4 linked regions of the Oryctolagus cuniculus genome follow. The protein of the gene in region 3 purifies or fractionates together with the protein of the main gene of each other region. This does not show direct contact. Links are inferred from orthologs where the notes say so. Each region holds a gene or a part of one and is shown on either strand. Other genes may lie near its edges. The genes, in order: KLC4, KLC3, KIF5B and KLC1.

Region 1 (4,728 bases), on a different chromosome or scaffold from region 3:
GCACCGTGCATCTAGGGCTGCTGCAGGGGTGGGAAGGGAGCAGCTGGGCTAACGGAAAGAGCAAGACACAGGCCTTAGAGGCCTCTGGTTCTCCAGACTGGCCTTCTGCCCCCCACTCACTTTGCTCATTTCCTCCCGCTCCTCTGCATGCATCCAGATGGGCTTGTGGTCGTCTGGGGGTGACACATGGAGTGGGGAGGTTAGAGAACATAGCCAGACAGTCTGTGAGAGCCAGGACCCACAGGCTGACACTGCTGGGCGAAAGGGGTCTCCTCCCCCAACCCCGGAACCACCGTGATCTTAACCCCCCACCTTCCATGGGCATTTCTTTTCTTCCCTGCAGCCCCCTCCCCAGGCCCACACCACTCACCATCCACAGACCCAAACTCTTGCACGTGGGCTCGGGTCAGGATCTCTTTGTACAGCGTCTCGGCCTCAGCATACTTGCCCTGCTTCAGGTAACAGGAAGCCTGGGAGGCAGGAAGGCCAAAGCACAGGAGCAAGAGATGGAGGGAGACAAGGTCTTTGCCGGGCTCAGGGGCGTCCACTTCTTGCTGTCTCTCTGACTTTCCCCAGAAGGCCTCCTATTCTAGCAGCAGGGTCAAAGGTATCCCCACTCCACTCCCAAGAGGCTCTGGCACTTCTGCCGCTGGCTTGAAGCAGCTCCTTCAGTCCCAAAGGCAGCCCCAGAGACGGGCACACGGTGGATGAGAGTGGCATGCCAATTCCAGTGCTTCTGGCCAATTCCAGGAGCCAGGTGGCCTCCCCCGCCCCCTCCTTCCACCCCGTGTCCTTTCATCCCTTACCAGGTTGTTCTTGGTGCGGGCTACATTCGGGTTGTCCGGCCCCAGCTGCCCCTCATAGATGGCCAGTGCTCGCAGGTAATAGCGCTCTACGGCCTCATACTTGCCCTGGTTCTGGCACAGAAGGGCCAGGTTGTTTAGCTGCTTTGCTACATCTGGGTGGTCAGTGCCAAGGACCTGGAGGGGAGCAAAGGGGCAGACAAAAGGCCATAATGATGGTTCACACACACAGGGAGCAGAGGGAAGGGAATGAGGGAGAGGAAACAGGGCTGGGCGTGGGGGTGGGGGTAAGGGGAAGAAGTGAAGGACAAGGGTAGACTGACATGGGGGAAGGGTCACAGTGATGGATGGGGACGAATGGAGAGAGGCTCGGGTACCTTCTCTCGGATCTCCAGTGCTCGCTGGCACAGCGGTTCTGCCTCCTTGTATTTGCCCCTTTTGCCGTAGAGCACAGCCAGATTGTTGAGTGTGGCAGCCACCTATGAAGACAGACCTGGCCCATCAGACGTGCAGGACCCAGGAGAACCTGAGGTCCCCTCCCCACCGCCGCACAGCAGGGCCCCACGTGGCACAACACCAAGAGAGGTGGACTCTCACTGACACACTCAGAAGCTGAGGGGAGGAAGGCTCCGGGGCTCTGAGGGTGTTGTACCGCCCTCTAGGGGGACTTCTAGAAATTTCTGGAGTGTTGTTTTGGGGTTGCCATGAAGACTGAGGGTACTATTACCCCTGAGGAGGTGAGAACACAACAGATGTTCTGCATGTGCAGGGCGACTATGCCAACTTCTGAACGTCCTGCCTGGCACTCAAACATAGACAGCAAGCTTTGACTTTGACTTTTGGTGGGATATCAAGATGGGAGTCGTGTATTCTGAGACCCATCATCCCTGCTGTCACATACCTTAAAAAAGGAGCTTATTTCCCATTTTTTCCACTTTAACAATCTATCATTTGTTTTGGCCTACTGGCCCTACTTATGAGGCTATATCTCTGTTTTCTTCTCATATTCAAATCAGTCTGGCCTGTGATTACTTATTATAACACTGCCTTCTAATCAGGTATGTACTCACACTTCTGTCTCATTTTTCTCTTACTTCTTACACAGAAGCACCTACTGGTCTACTTCTAAATCCAGAGTTATTCCTCATATATCACACTACTTTATTATGTCTTCTAGCACTGTTGTACTCAACACAGTTATTCTTGTGTTGTATTTTTATCTTAGCATACTACGTTAAATTTATTGTTCTCATAAATTACTTCCCTTGCTTCTCTTTCATATTAACTAGTGTGTCATATTAACTTTCTTGTAAGTAGGATACATTGTCTATGAATTAAATTTCAGAATATTAATTATAAAAAGCAAGTAACTGAACTGCAGAGAATTGAGAGCCACGGAGATACCGGATGGTGCTGGCAGAAAGGAGGTCCTGTGCCTCCTTCCTGAGCATCCGAGTGAGGGAACCAAGGGCAGCGTGCGGACAAGCTAAGAGAACAACGGCAGAGGGCAGAGGGCAGAGGGCAGAGGGCAAGGAGCACTGACAGCAGGATGGTCCCGGCCCAGAGTGCTCTCCCGGATGCTGAGGGCATCGTTCAGCAGGTGGGCAGCTTCCTTATACTTATTCTGGTCCCTGGAAGAGGCCAAAGGTGACAACGGTTACCCTGACCTCTGCTCCCAAGTCATCTCCTTCCCACTCTCCCTCCCCTGGGGAGGACTGAGGTATATTTAGAGATCGGGGACACCCATGGGGACAAGAGGCCTGGTGTGGATGGTGAGAGGGCTCCACTGATACATCCAGACCAGGATGCAGAGCACTGTTGTCCTCCGAGGAGGCCACAGGAAGCTAGGGTGTGTGTGGTGTGTGTGTATGTGTGTGTGTGTGTGGAGGCTCCCTCCAGGAGAGACCAGAGCAGCAAACAGCCTGCGAGATGAGTATCGTCTGAGGTCAAGGACTTGGCATGGTACCCAGTGGGGAATATCCTGGAAGCCCAGCAGGGAGAAGAGGCACCCAGTGGAGAGGAGGCATGGGTGCCAAAGAGGGAGAGGAGTCTGGGGGGCGGGGGGGCGGTGCTCACCGATACACCAAGGCGAGGATGTTGAGCATGGTGGCGACATCAGGGTGGCCACGGCCAGATGTGCGCTCCAGGTCCTCCAGCGCCTGCTTGCAGAGCGGCACAGCCACCTCATAGCGACCCTGGGCTGCGTACTGAATCACCAGGTTGTGTAGCGTCCGCAACCTTGCTGGGATCTCATATCCACCCTGCTGGGCGGCTGCAGCGCCTTGGCCACGCGACACTGAGCCAGCCCGGAAAACGAACAGCAGATTTCCTGGAGGACTCTTCCTCTCCCACCCCAGACCTCCCCTCTATGTCTTGTTCCATACCTGCACCTGCCCCTACCAGACTCTCTCTACTGACACCAGAGCCTCCACTGCTATTCTGTTACCTGCTCCCTGGAACCTGTGCCCACTACAGTTCTATTTGTTCCCAGTGATGCATTCACTCAATAAGACTGAGCGGGGCCAGTGTTGTGACATAAAGGGTTAAGCCACCACTTATGACCCTGGCATCCCACATGAGTGCCAATTTGAGTCCCAGCTGCTCCACTTCTGATCCAGCTCCTGAGAAAGTGGCAGAATATAGCCCAAATACTTGGGAGATCCAGATAGATGTCCAGGCTCTTGGCTTTGACCTGGCCTAGCCTTGACAGTTGCAGTCATTTGGGGAGTGAACTAGCAGATGGAAAATTCCCCTCTCTCTCTCCCTCCCTCCCTACCTCTCTCTCTCATAGCCTTTCAAATAAATAAAAAAATCTTAAAAAAAATAATAAGCCTGAGCCAGGGGCTATCCCAGGAACACAAAGATAAGAAAGAGCTGGTTCCTTCCCCTGAAGAACTCATGCTCTTCCCATCTCAGGTTCATTCCCCCATAGACCGTGAACACATCACCAGTGAGACCTGTGTTATTTTCATCTTGCTATTCCTAGTGCTCGGCACATATCGCTTAATAAACATTGATGATAAGGAGGAGGCTGAGAAAATTAAAGGACTAGCCCAGCCCTGCCCCCTCTCCAGAGAGAGGGGAGAACCTGTTTCTGGATGGTGACATCCTGAGCACAGGGCTGGGCCCAGAGCAGCCTCTTGCTGCCCCTCGTTCCCCTCCAGCTCTGAGGCAGACTCACAGCCGTTGCTAGGGTCCTCCTCCTCTTCGTTGGGGAAGAGGTCATCCAGAGAATCCTTGGTGGCATCCCCTTGTTTTTCCTCCTGGAAGGGAAGCAGTAGCATGTGAGGGCCAAGATAGCGCCGGTGTGAGGGCCCCTCTAAGCCACAAAGTCACTGAGAGGGGCCTCTGCCCTGGGAAGGCCAGCATCCGGCCCAGCCACACTCAGGCCTCTTTTGTTGGCAAAAGCCAGAGATGCTTGGCACAAATTCCCACGACTTCCCCTTCCTTCACATCCAGAAAGTTCCCTTCCTTACTACCTCCACTCCCCAGCCTCCCTCTCTCCTGCTCCACTCTTGTAATTATAGCCCTGTGCTGATGCCTGGTGTTTACTCTGATTATATGTCTGTTCTGTCTCTCCTGAGGCCGGACAGTGTCTCTGACCTTACTGACACATGCCCAAGGTGTCTCGCTCAGCCTCACACCCATCATCTGCCACTGCCTGCTTCGGACATAGTGAGCACCCCTCACTGTCCAACCTACTTCCACACTGGGAGAATCTGCTTTTCCCATCAGGAACGGCAGCTTTAAGCAGCGACCTCCAGCCCTTTCCCCTGCCCCCTGCCCTCTGCCCCCTGTACCAGTGTGTCCCATGCAAAGCGTCTCCTGACTCTCTCAGGGGTAGACCAGTAGTGCAGCCCTGGAGCCTTAGCTTGACTCCCCTGTCTCTCTTCCTTGTCATCCTTCAAGAATCATCCCAAACCCT
Region 2 (5,413 bases), on a different chromosome or scaffold from region 3:
GGCCTGGCGGCACAGGGGCACGGCCACCTCGTAGCGGCCCTGCCCCGCGTACTGGATCACCAGGTTGTGCAGGGTCCGCAGCCGTGCGGGGATCTCGTAGCCGCCCTGCTGAGCCGCCGCAGCGCCTGCCGCCTCGGAGCCTGGGGGAGGCAGGCACCGTGTCACCCGGGCCCCAGAACAGCCTCCGACCGACCCGTGGGAGGTGTCCCGGCCTGGGGACGGGGGTGCAGAGCCCACCTGGCTCCCCAGCCCCGGCCTCACCTGCCTGCCATCACCCTGCTGGTAGCGGCCACCTGCTGTGTCTGCCCTAGCCCCCCCATGCCCCCCCCACATGCCTGGGGCCCACACCCACCTCTCTGCTCCTCCTCCTCGCTGGGGAACAGGGAGGCCAGGCTGTCTCGGCGAGGGGGGGACTCCGGCCGCTGTGGGCAGGACGGGAAAAGGAGGTGTATGTGGGGGGGGGCACCGAGTCTGCCTCAAGGTCTGGGGGGCGCTGCCCTGGAGCCTGCGGGGCCCCCCGGGGGCTCTGTGGAGTCTGAGGCGGGTGTGCACCTGGCTCCCTGCCGGCGACTCGTACTGCCGCAGCTGGCCCAGGAACTCCAGGTGGCCCTTTTCCTCCTCCAGCTGGGCCACGGCCTCCTCGCTGGCCCGCAGCCGCCGCTGCGTCTCCTCCAGCTCCTCCCGCAGCCACGCGTTCTCCTGGGCCAGGCGCCGGGCCTGCGCCCGCAGCCGCTGCCTCTCTGCCTCCAGTGCGCCCACGTGCGCCGACAGGGCCAGCAGCATCTGCGAGGGGTGGGGGCCGTGGGGCTGGATCCCACCCGCCCTGCCCCGGGCCCCCAGACTCTGCCGCGCGGCTCAGGTGACCCCAGAGGCTCCCCAGGACCCTCACTCAGGGGCCCACCCCTCCCCCTGGCGCGAGTGCCCCTGGTACCTGCGCCTCGCCCAGCCCCAGCTCCAGGGCCTCCAGCGAGTGGTTCACCACCTGCTGCTTTTCTTCGAGCAGCTCCGAGCCGGCCACAGGCCCCGGGCCCGCCAGGGCTTCGGCCAGGCGCCCAGCCAGGCCGCGGTGCTCGGCCCGCAGGGCCTCCAGCCCCTGCACCACCTGCCGCGTCTGTCGCATCAGCTCCTCAGGGCTCAGGCGCTCTGGGCTCAGCCCTGCACTTCCGGGCGCTGCCACCTGCACGGACATGGCTGCTCCTGGGGCAGGGGGGTGGGGGGCTCATGTCAAGGCCCCTGGCACCCGGTCTCCCGGGCCAGCAGGATCCCTGCCATTGATCCATCCCAGCCACGCCGCCATGCCCTGCCCATCCTGCTCTTACACCTACGGGACAGCCCCCGGTTAGCCAAGCTGGGCACATAGCCGGCCCGCTCCGGGGTCCGTGCCTGGCCAGGATCTGGCTGCCCGGGGTGCAGCGGCCCCCTGCTGCGGGGCAAGTGGGTGGGGCGTGTGGAGGCGGCTGCCCAGCCGCTGTGAGCTCATTCTTAGGGTGTTTTTGTTGGGAACCAGTCGGACCACTGGGGCTGGGCTGGGCTGGGGCGGGGTGGGAGGAGAAGGCTGGAGGCTGGGGCGCCGGAAGCAGAGGAGGCCTCTGGGTTGAAAAGACTTCCAGGGGGACAATGCATTGGCCTTGACAGACCCCGAGGGAACAGGGACTCCACCCTGTGCCACAGACAGGCTCAGCCAGGGCCTGTTGAGACACACAGGTGCGGCCCATGGGTGTCACTGGCCATCACGGCCGGGGGTAATGGGTGGAGGTCCCACACACGGGACTCCCTGGGGTTGTGATGTGAGGGACAAGGCCTCAGAGACAGCTGGCGATGCCTCGGGGGTCTTCCTAGTGTCACACACTCACCTGCCTCTTTTTTTTTTTTTTTTTTAAAGACGTATTTATTTATTTGAAAGGCAGAGTTACAGAGAGAGGGAGAGACAGAGATCTTCTATCTGCTGGTGCACTCCCCAGATGGCCACAATGGCTAGAGCTGGGCCGATACAAAGCCAGGAGCCTCTTCCGGGTCTCCCACGCGGGTGCAAGGGCCCAGGGACTTGGGCCATCTTCCACTGCTATTCCCAGGTCCATTCGCAGAGAGCCAGAGTGGAAGTGGCGCATCAGGGACTTGAACCAGCGCCCATATGGGAAGCTGGCTCTGCAGGCGGTGGCTTTACCGGCCCCACACACCTGCCCTTACAGACCTGTACAACACACCACACACAGTCGCTGCTCTCCTTCCGTCACACACAATGCGACAGACAGCGTCTTATACAGCTGTCTGAGACGCCGGCGTCCCATGTGGGAGCCGGTTCCTGTCTCGGCTGCTCCACCTCCCATCCAGCTCCCTGCTGATGGCCTGGGGGAAAGCAGCGGAGGCCGGCTGCGTGCTTAGACCCCTGCCCCCGCGAGGGAGGAGACCCTAGTGGACTTCCAGGTGCCCGGCTTCAGCCTGCCCACTGTGGCCGTTTGGCAGGGTGAACCAGCGTGGATGGGCCACCTCTCCCGGATGGTCAGTCTCCCTGCCTTTCAGATAAACAAAAATTCGTAAACTTTTTTTCGTTATACATACAGGTCGGCGCTGACGCACACCCACATCCCTGAAGAGATCAGGTGTATGTGCGTGCACACGTGGGAGCGCTCCGCTCAGCAACACACGCACCCTTGGGAGACACGCCCACACGCAGGTGTGGCCTCTGAAATGACTCTCATCTCCCCCACCCTCCTCACTTGCAGAATCAGAGCCCCTCCAGGCCGGCCCCTCCCACACTCACCCTGCCAAATGCACTCTCACGGTTCCCCGTGGGCGCCCCCCCCAACTCGTCCCCACCCCTGGCCAGGAGGGCCCCCCCCCCGGCCTTCTGTGCCACACACACTCACAGCTGCAAACACGCGTGCGCCAATGGTCCCTGACCGGGGAGGAGCGCCACTGGCAGCCGCGGGCGCCCGTGGTGTGGACAGCTGTGGTCATGCGAGCGGGGAGACCCGCGTGTCTGCACCCAGCTCCGTACAGACGGGGGACGCCCGGGGTTCTGCGCACACGCACAGCCCCACGCCGGCGAGGAAACTTCGAGAAGGGAGTGGGAGAACACAATGTCCTAACCTGGCGAGTCTTGCACGCACTCGGCAGGGGACGCGCCCGTGCTCACCGCACCGTGCGGACGCCCGCATCGTCCCGCAGCCCGGCCTCCCGCTGTCCCCCGCGCTGTCACGCACCGTGTCGCACCCACCGCGGGCGGGCAGCAGGCCGCGACCCCGGCCCAGCTCCAGGCACGCTGCCCCGCCGCCCGCTGTCACGAGGGCCCCTCCCGCCCCTAGGCCCCGCCCCGCCCCGCTCCTGTTTACCTGCGCCTGGGGGACCGGGCGCGGCCCCAGCCCGGCCTGCGGACCCCAGGGAGCCCCGGGACGGGGCAGGGAGTTCCCAGGGGCCCCGCGTCCCGTCCCCGTGGCCAGGCGAATGGGCCCAGGGGCGCGCCAATCCCAGCCCTCCCCTTGGCCCCGCGCCCCATCAGGGCGGCTTCCCGCGACTCCCGCGCCCACCGGACAGCCGACGGCTCCGCGCCCCGCTCGACGGCGTCCCGCAGGCTCCGCACGCCCCGCCGCTCCCGGCTGTGACCGCGTCTCGGGCCGCGGGCGGCTCCGCCGGAAGGCGGGGCGGCCGGAGTCCCGCCCCCGCAGGTGCGGCCGGAGCCCCGCCCCCCGCAGGTGCGGCCGGCCCCGCCCCCGGAGGGGAGGGTCGGCGCGCGGCTCAGGCCCCGCAGGACTCGCGCGCGCAGCCTCCGGGAACCAGGGCCGCGGCCACGCTTGCCGTCCGGGAAACCTGCGCTCCGGCTGCAGACTTCGCCTCCTCCAAGAAGCCTTCCTGCTGGCCCCTTCTTAGCGGCATCCCTCGCGACCCCCACCCCACACCCATCCTGATATTGTTCACAAATATTTTCAGAGCCTCAAATTATTTTATATAGCACATCATTTTATTTTATTGTTACAATACTTTTAAAATGATTTATATATTTTAATTAAAAGGTGGAGTTACAGAGAGGCAGAGAGAGAGACGGGAGATTTCCACCCCAAATGGCCTCGACGGCCAGGGCTGGGCCAGGCTGAAGCCAGGAGCCAGGAGCTTCTTCAGGTCTCCCACGTGGGTGCAGGGGCCCAAACACTTGGGCCATCTCCTGCTGTTTTCCCATGTGCATTAGCAGGGAGCTGGATCAGAAGTGGGGCAGCCGGGACTTGAACCAGCGCCCATATGGGATGCCGCTATGCCACAGTGCTGGTCCCTGTTACAGTAATCTTAAAGATTTATTTAGTTGAAAGGCAGAGCTGCAGAGAAAGAGGAGAGATAGAATGAGAGATTTTTTTCAGCTGTTGGTTCATTCCTCAAAAGGCTGCAACAGCCAGGGCTGGGCCAGGCCAGAGCCAGGAGCCAGGAGCGTCTTCTGGGTTCCTTGTGTGGCCTCAGGGACCCAAGCACTTGTGCCATCTTCTGTTGCTTTCCCAGGTGCATTAGCAGGGAGCTGGATTGGAAGTGGAGCAGCCGGACTTGAACTGGCGCCCATGTGGGATGCTGGCACTGCAGGTAGAGATTTAACCTGCTATGCCACAGCACCAGCCCCTGGGTTCAAGTTTGATTCCAGTTTTTTGGTTTTTTTTTTTTTTTTTTTTTTTTTTTTTGACAGAGTTAGTGAGAGAGAGAGAGAGAGAGAGAGAAAGGTCTTCCTTTGCCGTTGGTTCACCCTCCAATGGCCGCCGCGGCCGGCACTGCGCTGATCCGAAGACAGGAGCCAGGTGCTTCTCCTGGTCTCCCATGGGGTGCAGGGCCCAAGCACTTGGGCCATCCTCCACTACACTCGCGGGCCACAGCAGAGAGCTGGCCTGGAAGAGGGGCAACCGGGACTAGAACCCGGGGTGCTGGCACTGCAGGCAGAGGATTAGCCTAGTGAGCCGTGGCGCAGGCCCTAACTGTGTAATGTTTTATTATCAGTTCCGTCTTCTCCCCCATTACAAAGTCGGCTGTGGTGCAGCGGGTTAAAGCCCTGGCCTGAAGTGCCGGCATCCCATGCGGGCGTCAGTTCTAGTCCCGGCCACTCCACTTCCCATCCATCCAGCTCCCTGTTAATGCACCTGGGAAGGCAGTAGAAGATGGCCCAAGTCCTTGAGCCCCTGTACCCGCGTGGGAGACCCAGAAGAAGCTCCTGGCTTCGGATCGGCGCAGCTCCGGCCGTTGCAGCCATCTGGGGGGTGCACCAGCAGATGGAAGCCCTCTCTCCCTCTGTTTCTACCTCTCTCTCTAACTCTTTCAAATAAATAAAATAATTTTTTTTTTAAAGTCGGCTGTTGGTGTTGTACAGTGGGTTAAGCTGCCGAATCCAACACCAGCATCCCACGAGGAGGCTCCACTTCCGATCCGGCTCCCTGCTAATGCACCT
Region 3 (4,728 bases):
AGACAGAGAAAGACAGAGCTCCCACCTGCTAGTTGACTCCCTAGATGTTCACCATGGCTGGGGCTAGGAACTCAGTTCAGGTCTCCAGTGCGGGTGCAGCATCCCAACCACCTGAGCTCTCACCTCTGTCACACTGGGTCTACACAAGTAAGACACTAGAGCCAGGAAGAGGTGGGCACTGAAGCCAGGTTCTCGGATATGGGACTCGCAGGTGTTTAACTGCTAAGGCTAAACGTTGTCCCAATTTTTTGAACTCTATCATCTCATTTTTCAGACACTCAAAATATCTTCTGTTATCCTGTCCTCCATAGGTGCAGAAAGAGATAGGACCTTTTGGTCATCCAATATTTTTCATGTTTTAAATAAAAATTATGATTTCATTTTTCCATGTCTTTCATTTCCTTGAATCCTTATTACTGCTTTCGTTAAGTACTAGTTAGATCTATGCCCCAAACTTCTGTTTTGTTGTTGCCATCTTCTGGTTTCTATTCAAATCATTACACCCATCCCATGTAGGTGAACATGATTACCGAAGTAGAGAAATGTCTTCTAGGTAAACTAAGAGGACGACTTCTATTAAAAAACAAAAACCAACCTCTAAACCCTTAATTTCTAATAAAAATTTTATCAGTTAAGAATCAAAAAAACAAAGAAATAGAAGTTAAGCGGGCCAGCCCAGTGGTGTAGCAGGTAAGATTGCCGCCTGCAATGCTGGCATCCCATATGAGCACCAGTTCGAGTCCTGGATGCTCCTCTTCTTATCCAACTCTCAGGTCCTTGGGCCCTTGCACTCATGTGGGAGAACCAGAGGAGACTCCTGCCTCCTGGATTCCAATCGGCCTAGCTCCAGTTGTTGTGGCCAGTTTGGGGGAGTGAACCAGTGGATGGAAGACCTCTTTCTCTCTCGCTCTCTGCCTCTGTAACTCCGCCTTGCAAATAAACAAGTAAATAAATCAATCTAAAAAAAAAAAGTTAAATGATTTGAGGGAGAATGCAATAATGAGTTTAAGCTGAGGCTCTCTCTCTCTCTTTTTTTTTTTTTAACTTAGCATTTAGAGCAAACAACCTAAGAAAATCTTTCAGAACTTTTTAAAAATTTTACTCTACAGTGTGAAAATTCTTTATTTTCCAAGTCAAAAAATAGAATTTCCTTGAAAACAGGTTTCAAGTAAGGACATACTGACCACTAGTAACATTATTTCCTCTGAATTTTTTGCAGTTAGTTTCAAATATGTGAGAGAAAAGAAAAGTATACTTACTCTTGAAGGTCAGTGATAAGTTTTTCTTTTGCCTCAACTTCATCTCTCAAACTACTGATTTGTTTTTGATGGGTTTCTCTGTGGCTTTGGATCTGTTGTTCAACGGCTTGCTAAAGTGTTTGAGGGGAAAGAATGTTAGAGTCAGACTAATCAAAATCAGTAACAATGTATTAAAGCCATCAGAATCCAATCTAAGAACAAACTTGCCTTCACTTCATTTGCAGTCTGAACCTTATTTAAGTGCTCCTTTTCCATTTCATGGACTTTCTCTGTTTAGTTAGGGAAAGAAAGCAGAAGAACAAAGTCTTAAAAGAGTCCTCATATAAACCAATCATGTAAGCCAAAGGGACAAATGGGTCTTATGAGAAATAGGTTTTTCAAGAAACACTCAAAATTAAGTTATCCAAATATCACAAAGTAAATCTTGCACTCCAGGCTCAATAACGCGTTGACTACTATATTTGTGCTGATATTAAGCATTGTTTTTTCTTTGCCTAACCCCAGAACAGAGGGTTAAAGGGATGGTAGGCAAAGAAGTTAGTTTCTAAATCTACTTTAAGGTTTATATACAAGAGATCTTTAAGTCTCCTCATACACACACACACACACACACATAACAACTTCATAATCTTACAGGAAACTCCTAGACTGGCCATTTATATATTCAAACACAATTTTTTTAAAATGTTTCAAAGGCAACTTAAAATATATGATGTTTACTATTCCAAGTTACCCATATTCCTACTGTTCTTTATCAGTGTGAATACAAGTTTACTACAATCACCTAAAGGCAAGAAGGATTAACACAGAACATAAACTGGGAGCTAATACCTTGTGCTCGAAGCTGAACTAGTTCTTCACTGAGGGAGTCGACAGATTCTTCGAGCTGCCTTTTCTTCTGCTCCACATTTTGCAGGTATTCAGTCAATGACTTGATTTTGGCTTCATGCTTTTGGAAGAAATACACTGATATGAACAGGAGAAAAACCTCACACACACATTTTGTTGTTAAGAATATCTGGAGGTACAGTAATATCTAAGTATATTACATATGCAGAGGTATCATGTTGAGGGGGTCAAATTTTAAAATGATAGAGTTTATCAATACACTATTCATGCGTAGAGCTTCTACCACGTGCAAACTAAGGGACTAAAGGCTGAAATATGAGACAGTATTTTTAGAATTTTCTCCATCTAATATCACAGTCTTCCTCCTCCTTGCACAGATTCTATCTGGGGAATGATCCCACTCACTGAGTGGCCAAAAATGCCAGAAACCGTTCCTTGGTAGTACTCTCCACTTTGGAATTATTCTAGAGTCCTCCAAAATCATACCATTCGCATCTTTCTAGTACATTTCCATACTTAGTACACACACACTGACAGCTATAACCCGACTAAATCATTTGCACTATCACACTGTAGTAGTACAGGGAAAACTAACATTTTATTGTTACTCTAGAGACTCATTTTTCTGAAAGCTTTTATAATAAATAAAATATACTGATTTACTTCCACGTGGCTGTTAAAAAAAAATGAGGATACTTTGTTCTGTAACACATACTTGGGAGATGCGAAGCTGGCATGCTGCTAGCTCCTTTTCATTTTCTTCCATTTTTTTGTTGCTCTCGGTCTGTGTGCCTTCTAGCTGTTTGCAGCGTTTCACCATCGTCTTGACTTCTGACTTCATCTTGCTGATGTAGAGCCTGGCGACAGTGAACTCTTCGTCTATCATGCCAGTTCCCTCAGGCTGCTGGGAGAGAAAGTAAAATAAAAAGTAAAGCCAGAAAGTTCAGTGCGTCTTCCCAGTTAGACTCTAGTTCTCAAACCATTACAGAACCTTCAGTTATTCAACATTCACAAAAAGGCTGGAGCTAGTTTTTTTTTTTTTATCGTTTTTAATAAAGGATATAGAAGCAGAGCTTAATTTTTGCCTTTCTACTTTTTCAAACTTGGTATGTTAATACATGGCTTATGAGGAAATAAAATAAATGGAAACCTAATAAAAAAAAAGTGACTGACTTCTGCCTCTGTCAAGTTTTACATTTCCTTTTCACAAGACATCTTCATAAATTCATTGTCAACAATGTGCAAGTTCAGTCTAAAATTATTTTTCAAGATTCATTTATTTATTTGGAAGGCAGAGTTAGAGAGGGGCAGAGGCAGGGACAGAGACCTTCCATCCACGGTTCACTCCCAAAATGGCCACTACGGCCAGTGGTGGGTCTCGAACCAGTGCCCGTATGGGATGCTGGCATTGCAGGCGGTGGCTTTACCTGCTACACCACAGCGCCAGCCCCTCAGTTTAAAATTTAACAAGAGGATGTTTGGGGTGGTAGGGAAATGATGACTTTTGAGTATAACAAGGAAGAGCTGTGGCCATTGCACATTCCTTGACTTTTATAGATTTCATTAAAAAACTCCAATACTCAATGTCAAACTTATATGCATCTTGGATAGGAGGCAATAAAACTGTTGTTGCAGATATGATTGCTTACAAAAATCAAAAACAGAGACAAAACAAAAACACTCCTGGAACGAATAAGCCATGATAGCAAGGTTGCAGGATACAAGGTTAATATATGAAAGTCAGTCACTGCAGCCAGCGCTGTAGCATAGTGGGTTAAGCCTCTGCTTGTGGCACCGGCATCCCAAATGAGCGCCAGTCCTGGCTGCTCCACTTCCAATTCAGCTCCCTGCCAATGGCCTGGGAAGGCAGCAGAAGATGGCCCAAGTCCTTGGGCCCCTGCATCCATGTGGGAAACCCAGAGGAAGCTCCTGGCTCCTACCTTAGGATGAGCCAAGCTCCGGCCGTTGCGGCCATCTGGGGAGTGAACCAGGAGATTAAAGACCTCTCTCTGTCTCTCCCTCTCTCTGTAACTCTGCCTCTTAAATAAATTAATAAAACTTTAAAAAAGGAAAAAATTCAGTCACTGCTTCCTCAATATGGTGAATGAAAATCACAGTAAACTATTTTGTGGATGTCAACAAACCGATTTCTAGATTTTACATGGAGAGTCAAAACATCCCCGATAGCCAACATGATCCTGAAGAACAAAGTCAGAAGACTGACACTAAGACTTATTACGAAGCAACAATAACTTAGACGGTACAACAGTTCCTCCTCTTCACAGGGACACACAGTAAGACATTCCCAGGATGCCCAAAACTACAAACAAGACTAACCCCTGAATGTGATGTTTTTCCTAAATATATCTACCTATGAGAAAGTTTGATGTCTAAGGAAATTAATATCAATAATAAAATAGAACTGTAACAATCTAGTGTAATAAGTTATTTAAAACACATGAATTGATAATTTCTGGAAATTTCCATTTGGACTGCAGCTGACTACAGACGACTGAACCCACAGAAAGCCTAACTGCCAACAAGGAAGTTTTCGGACTAGTGCTGTGGCGTAGTGGGTAAAGCTGCCACCTGCAGTGCTGGCATCCCATATAGGAACCGA
Region 4 (4,728 bases), on a different chromosome or scaffold from region 3:
TCTGAGAATAACGGTTTCAGTCTCTATCCCCATAAACACACTTGGGGGATTTGCATCTAACTGAACAACTTCCCGACAAGCAGACCCCGTGACACCTGCGATGTCAGGACCCCTGCTCGCGGCCGGCAGGGCTGCCCTTTCTAGCACACACCCCTCTCAGGTGAGTCTGATCCACCTGTTTCCCAGCTTTCTATCCTATTAAACAAGCTATTTTCAGGAAACACTCAGTAATGACAAAACACAATAGTCACTTCTCAGGACTTAAGCCTGGTGCCAGCGCTGTGGTGTAGTGGGTAAAGCCGCTGCCTACAGTGCTGGCTGGCCGCCACCGGTTAGAGTCCCAGCTGCTCTGCTTCCCATCTGGCTCTCTGCTATGGCCTGGGAAAGCAGCAGAAGAGACCCAGAGGAGGCTCCTGGTTCCCGATCAGTGCAGCTCCAGTCATTGCAGCCATTTGGAGAGTGAACCAGCAGATAGAGGATCTCTCTCTCTCTCTCTCTCTCTCTCTGCCTCTGCTTTTCTGTAACTCTGACTTTCAAATAAATAAATAAGACTTCAGCCTGGGGGCCAGTGCTGTGGTACAGTAGGCTGAGCTCCACCCGCAGTGCCAGCATCCCATATGGGTGCTGGTTCGAGTCCTGGCTGTTCACTTCCCATCCAGCTCTCTGCTGTGGCCTGGGAAAGCAGTGGAGGATGGCCCGAGTCCTTGGCTCCTGCACCCACGTGGGAGCTCCAGGCTCCTGGCTTCAGACTGGCTCAGCTCCGGCTGTTGCAGCCATCTGGGGAGTGAACCAGCGGATGGAAGACTTCTCTCTCTGTCTCTCCCTCTCACTGTAACTCAGCTTCTCAAATAAATAAATAAATAAATAAATATTTATAAAAAAAAATAAGACTTTCTGAAATGTCTTTTAAACACAGAATGCTGCATCCTGCTCTCCTGCCTACCTTCTCTCTGATCTCCAGGGCTCTCTTACACAGAGGCTCGGCTTCTTTGTACTTCCCTCTCTTTCCGTAAAGGACAGCCAGGTTGTTCAGGGTCGCCGCCACCTGCCAGTACAGAAAGCCACTAAGAACAGCAACAGACCCGGACGAGGGCACTCACACATCACAGACTCACTTGTACTCAGAGAGGAGGAGGACTTCCGTTACAAGACAGCAACTCACAGAACAGATGACACCAAGTAACACGGCGGAACACACACTGACAGTAAACAAATCAACGTCAACAACATGATTTTTTTAATTCCCCTGGAAGCCACAAAGCCAACCAAAATAGATCTGTATGCAAATCTCAACAGATTTCAATAAAAATATAAATGCTTGAGGAACAAATTTATAGAGGTACATGCAATTTGATTTATGATCAGAACACAGAGCGGGTGGTCCACTGAGTGGTGGCTCTAAAGGGATTGCGTGTGCATGGGCAAATGCCAGAGCAGAGCCGCTGGCCAGCCCTGGGAGACGCCTCCTACCTGCACCGCTAGGACAGGCGGCTCCTAAGCCTTCCCTGTTGAGTTTAATATTAAAATGAGTTGGATAAAACAAGTCCTTGGGGAAAATCAAATGCATGGAGAAGGGAAGAACCAGGCATACAAACCGCAGGGTGATCTCTGCCCAGGGTCTTCTCACGGATGGCCAAGGCGTCGTTGAGCAGATTCGCTGCATCCTTGTACTTATTCTGATCTCTAAATGGAAAAACACACAGAGTGCTGCTGCATCATTGAAAAATCATTTTAGAACTATGAACATAAAAGTTAAGCTTCAGTTACCAAAAAACTAAAACTAAAACAAAAAAACTCTTATGTATGGGAGGGAAGACTGCAAGGAAACCCATCACTAAATGCACTGGCAGCCAGGTGAGCTACAAAATCAGATCTCATAAACTTCTCGCCTGGGTCCCCCAACCCGGACCACTGGGCACCACTGGCCACGCAGGGCTGTCCTGGGGCTGCCGACACGGGGCAGGCACGGCAGCAGAGGGCAGGTGGATATCAGACAGGACTGACCGCACTCAGCTCAGGCTCCCAGGTAACGACCACGTGGCCTCCACACTGCCCAACCTCCCCAGGTCCCTGCCCTCCCACGTGTACTCTGACTATGCTACCTTACCACTGTGAAGTAAGAATTAAGTAGGGGGGCTGCCTATAGGGCTGGCCTCCCATATGGGTGCCGGTTTGTGCCCTGGCTGCTCCACTTCCAATCCAGCTCTCTGCTATGGCCTGGGAAAGCAGTGGAAGATGGCCCAAGTCCTTGGACCCTTGCACCCACATGGGAGACCTAGAAGAAGCTCCTGGCTCCTGGCTTCAGATCAGCCCAGTTCTGGCTGTTGTGGCCATTTGGAGAGTGAACCAGCAGATGGAAGAGCTCTCTCTCTCTCTCTCTCTCACTCTCATTCTCTCTCTGTAACTCTGCCTCTCAAATAAATAAGTCTTCAGAGAGAGAGACAGAGACAGAGAAAAAGACAGGGGGCGGCGCTGTGGCACAGCGGGTTAACGCCCTGGCCTGAAGCGCCAGCATCCCATATGGGCGCCGGTTCTGGTCCCGGCTGCTCCACTTCCCATCCAGCTCTCTGCTGTGGCCTGAGAAAGCAGTGGAAGATGGCCCAGGTGCTTGGGCCCCTGCACCCATGTGGGAGACCTGGAGGAAGCTCTTGGCTCCTGGCTTTGGATCGGCACATTTCCAGCCATTGTGGCACATTGGGGAGTGAACCACTGGACGGAAGACCTCTCTCTGTCTCTCTGCCTCTCCTCTCTCTGTGTAACTCTGACTTTCAAGTAAAAAATAAATCTTTAAAAAAAAAAAAAAACCAGCAGCCCCAGTGCATCCTGGGTTAAGTGTGCCATCGACCACCGCCGTGCTGCAAAACTGGCTCCAGAGACCTACCACACACATTCCCAACTGAAAGCTAACAGCTGCCCAGCAAGGCTCTGCCCTGCACAGCAGGATTAACAAGGTTTGCAGAACCTCTGAATCCCACAAATTCTACCCAAGTGCTTGTATGTTATAGCTGTTGTTCTTGCTTAGTTAACTCATTAGAGACAAAGATCTTCCATCCATTGGTCCACTCCCCAAGAGACCACAATGATCAGGGCTGGGCCAGGGTGAATCCAGGAGCCTGGGACTCCATTCAGGTCTCCCATGTGGGTGGCGGGGCCGCTGCCTTCCCAGGAGCATCAGCGTGAGCTGGATCAGAGGTGGAGCAGCCGGGACTCGAACTGGCGCTCCAACATGGGATGCTGGGTCGCAGGGCGGGGTTACCACAGTGCACAGCGCAGGGCCTCGTGTACTGTTCTCTTCTCCAACCACTCTGGTATACATCATAAGCTGTTCTGAGCATTCTGTGAAACTAAGCAATAGGAAACAAAGTTTTAAAAAACTAGTAACACTGGGGCTGGCACCATGGCTCACTAGGTTAATCCTCCACCTGTGGCGCTGGCATCCCATATGGGTGCCGAGTTCTAGTCCCGGCTGCTCCTCTTGTAGTCCAGCTCTCTGCTGTGGCCTGGGAAGGCAGTGGAGGATGGCCCAGGTGATTGGGCCCTGCACCCGCATGGGAGACCAGGAAGAAGAAACACCTGGCTCCTGGCTTCGGATCGGCGCAGCGCCGGCTGTAGCAGCCATTTGGGGGGTGAACCAATGGAAGGAAGACCCTTCTCTCTGTCTCTCTGTCTCTCTCTCTCTCTCTCTCTCTAACTCTGCCTGTCAAATAAGTGAGGAAAAAAAAAAAAAACTAGTAACACCATTAAAAAAAAGAAAGTTACCTAAAAGTGTGTTGAGAACTAAGACGAGTTACAGTAAGTACTGCTGAAACTGACATGCACTAACATCCTTGGGACACGCTCTAACACACTTGGGACATGCTCTAACACTCTTGGGACTATTAACCCGCCAACGACCAGGTCACAGCCCTGCCTCTCAGGTGCGGCCCCAGACAGCTGCACCACCTCACCTGGAACTTGCTGGACACCTGGACCTCTACAGATCTGCCCAATCAGGATCTCAGAAATAAAGCCCAGCACAAGCCCACCAAGAAACTCAAAATTCCAAATGAAAGCAAAGTGGACCCTGTGAACAATAAACCCTGGGCCATTTTTGTGATACGGGGCACTGGTCTGAGGCCCGGCTGCTCCACTTCCAGTCCAGCTCCCTGCTAAGTAGCCTGGGAAGGCAGCCGAGGACGGCCCCTGCGCGTGGTCCCCTGCCTCCTGTGTGGGAGGCCCAGACAGAATCCGTGTTTCTGGCTCCTGGCTGCAGTCTGGCTCAGCTCTGGCTGTCATGGCTGCTTTCTGTCACTCTGCCTTTCAGATAAATACATCTTTTTTAAAAAAGAAAAAGAAAGTCCTAACTGAGAAATAAGCAAGGCCTCAGGAAACTCATGGAGGACGGAGAGCACGGGAAGCCTCAGCCAGGGCTCCGCTCCTCAGGCCGACGCTGCCCAGGCTGCCTCCAGGAGGCACCAGGCGTCCACACACCACTGTCTCCGGAACACACACCCATCAGGTCTTTTGCAAGTCTCTCTTACAGTGTAACAGAACTCAGGACGGAAGAGAGGCCATGCAGTGTGATGTGCACACCCAGGACATCGACGACAGAACCCGGTTACAGAGGCCGGCACCGGGGCGTAGCGGGTAAAGCTGCCACCCGCAGTGCTGGCATCCCATATGGATGCCGGTTTAAGACCCGGCTGCTCCACTTCCGATCCAGCTCTCTGCTACAGCCTGGGAAAGCAG

The links.
Region 1: the proteins of KIF5B (region 3) and KLC4 purify together in Homo sapiens (affinity purification with mass spectrometry; 4 studies listed by BioGRID and IntAct, with this or other methods). This does not show direct contact. The link is inferred for Oryctolagus cuniculus from reciprocal best matches to the Homo sapiens genes KIF5B and KLC4.
Region 2: the proteins of KIF5B (region 3) and KLC3 purify together in Homo sapiens (affinity purification with mass spectrometry; 3 studies listed by BioGRID and IntAct, with this or other methods). This does not show direct contact. The link is inferred for Oryctolagus cuniculus from reciprocal best matches to the Homo sapiens genes KIF5B and KLC3.
Region 4: the proteins of KIF5B (region 3) and KLC1 purify together in Homo sapiens (co-immunoprecipitation; 11 studies listed by BioGRID and IntAct, counting the BioPlex papers as one, with this or other methods). This does not show direct contact. The link is inferred for Oryctolagus cuniculus from reciprocal best matches to the Homo sapiens genes KIF5B and KLC1.

Annotation. Positions count from the first base shown.
Region 1 is NC_091436.1:126,954,215-126,958,942, forward strand, and holds part of KLC4 (kinesin light chain 4), read right to left. Parts: intron 4,067-4,728; coding exon 3,985-4,066; intron 3,100-3,984; coding exon 2,880-3,099; intron 2,435-2,879; coding exon 2,347-2,434; intron 1,283-2,346; coding exon 1,181-1,282; intron 981-1,180; coding exon 807-980; intron 471-806; coding exon 371-470; intron 174-370; coding exon 121-173; intron 1-120.
Region 2 is NC_091449.1:11,490,868-11,496,280, forward strand, and holds the start of KLC3 (kinesin light chain 3), read right to left. Parts: upstream 3,650-5,413; 5' UTR 3,528-3,649; intron 1,198-3,527; 5' UTR 1,190-1,197; coding exon 932-1,189; intron 784-931; coding exon 553-783; intron 423-552; coding exon 353-422; intron 141-352; coding exon 1-140. UniProt on the Homo sapiens protein: Kinesin is a microtubule-associated force-producing protein that may play a role in organelle transport. Plays a role during spermiogenesis in the development of the sperm tail midpiece and in the normal function of spermatozoa.
Region 3 is NC_091444.1:102,452,407-102,457,134, forward strand, and holds part of KIF5B (kinesin-1 heavy chain), read right to left. Parts: intron 3,013-4,728; coding exon 2,824-3,012; intron 2,209-2,823; coding exon 2,091-2,208; intron 1,529-2,090; coding exon 1,467-1,528; intron 1,370-1,466; coding exon 1,260-1,369; intron 1-1,259. UniProt on the Homo sapiens protein: Microtubule-dependent motor required for normal distribution of mitochondria and lysosomes. Can induce formation of neurite-like membrane protrusions in non-neuronal cells in a ZFYVE27-dependent manner.
Region 4 is NC_091451.1:46,444,182-46,448,909, reverse strand, and holds part of KLC1 (kinesin light chain 1), read right to left. Parts: intron 1,684-4,728; coding exon 1,596-1,683; intron 1,046-1,595; coding exon 944-1,045; intron 1-943. UniProt on the Homo sapiens protein: Kinesin is a microtubule-associated force-producing protein that may play a role in organelle transport. The light chain may function in coupling of cargo to the heavy chain or in the modulation of its ATPase activity.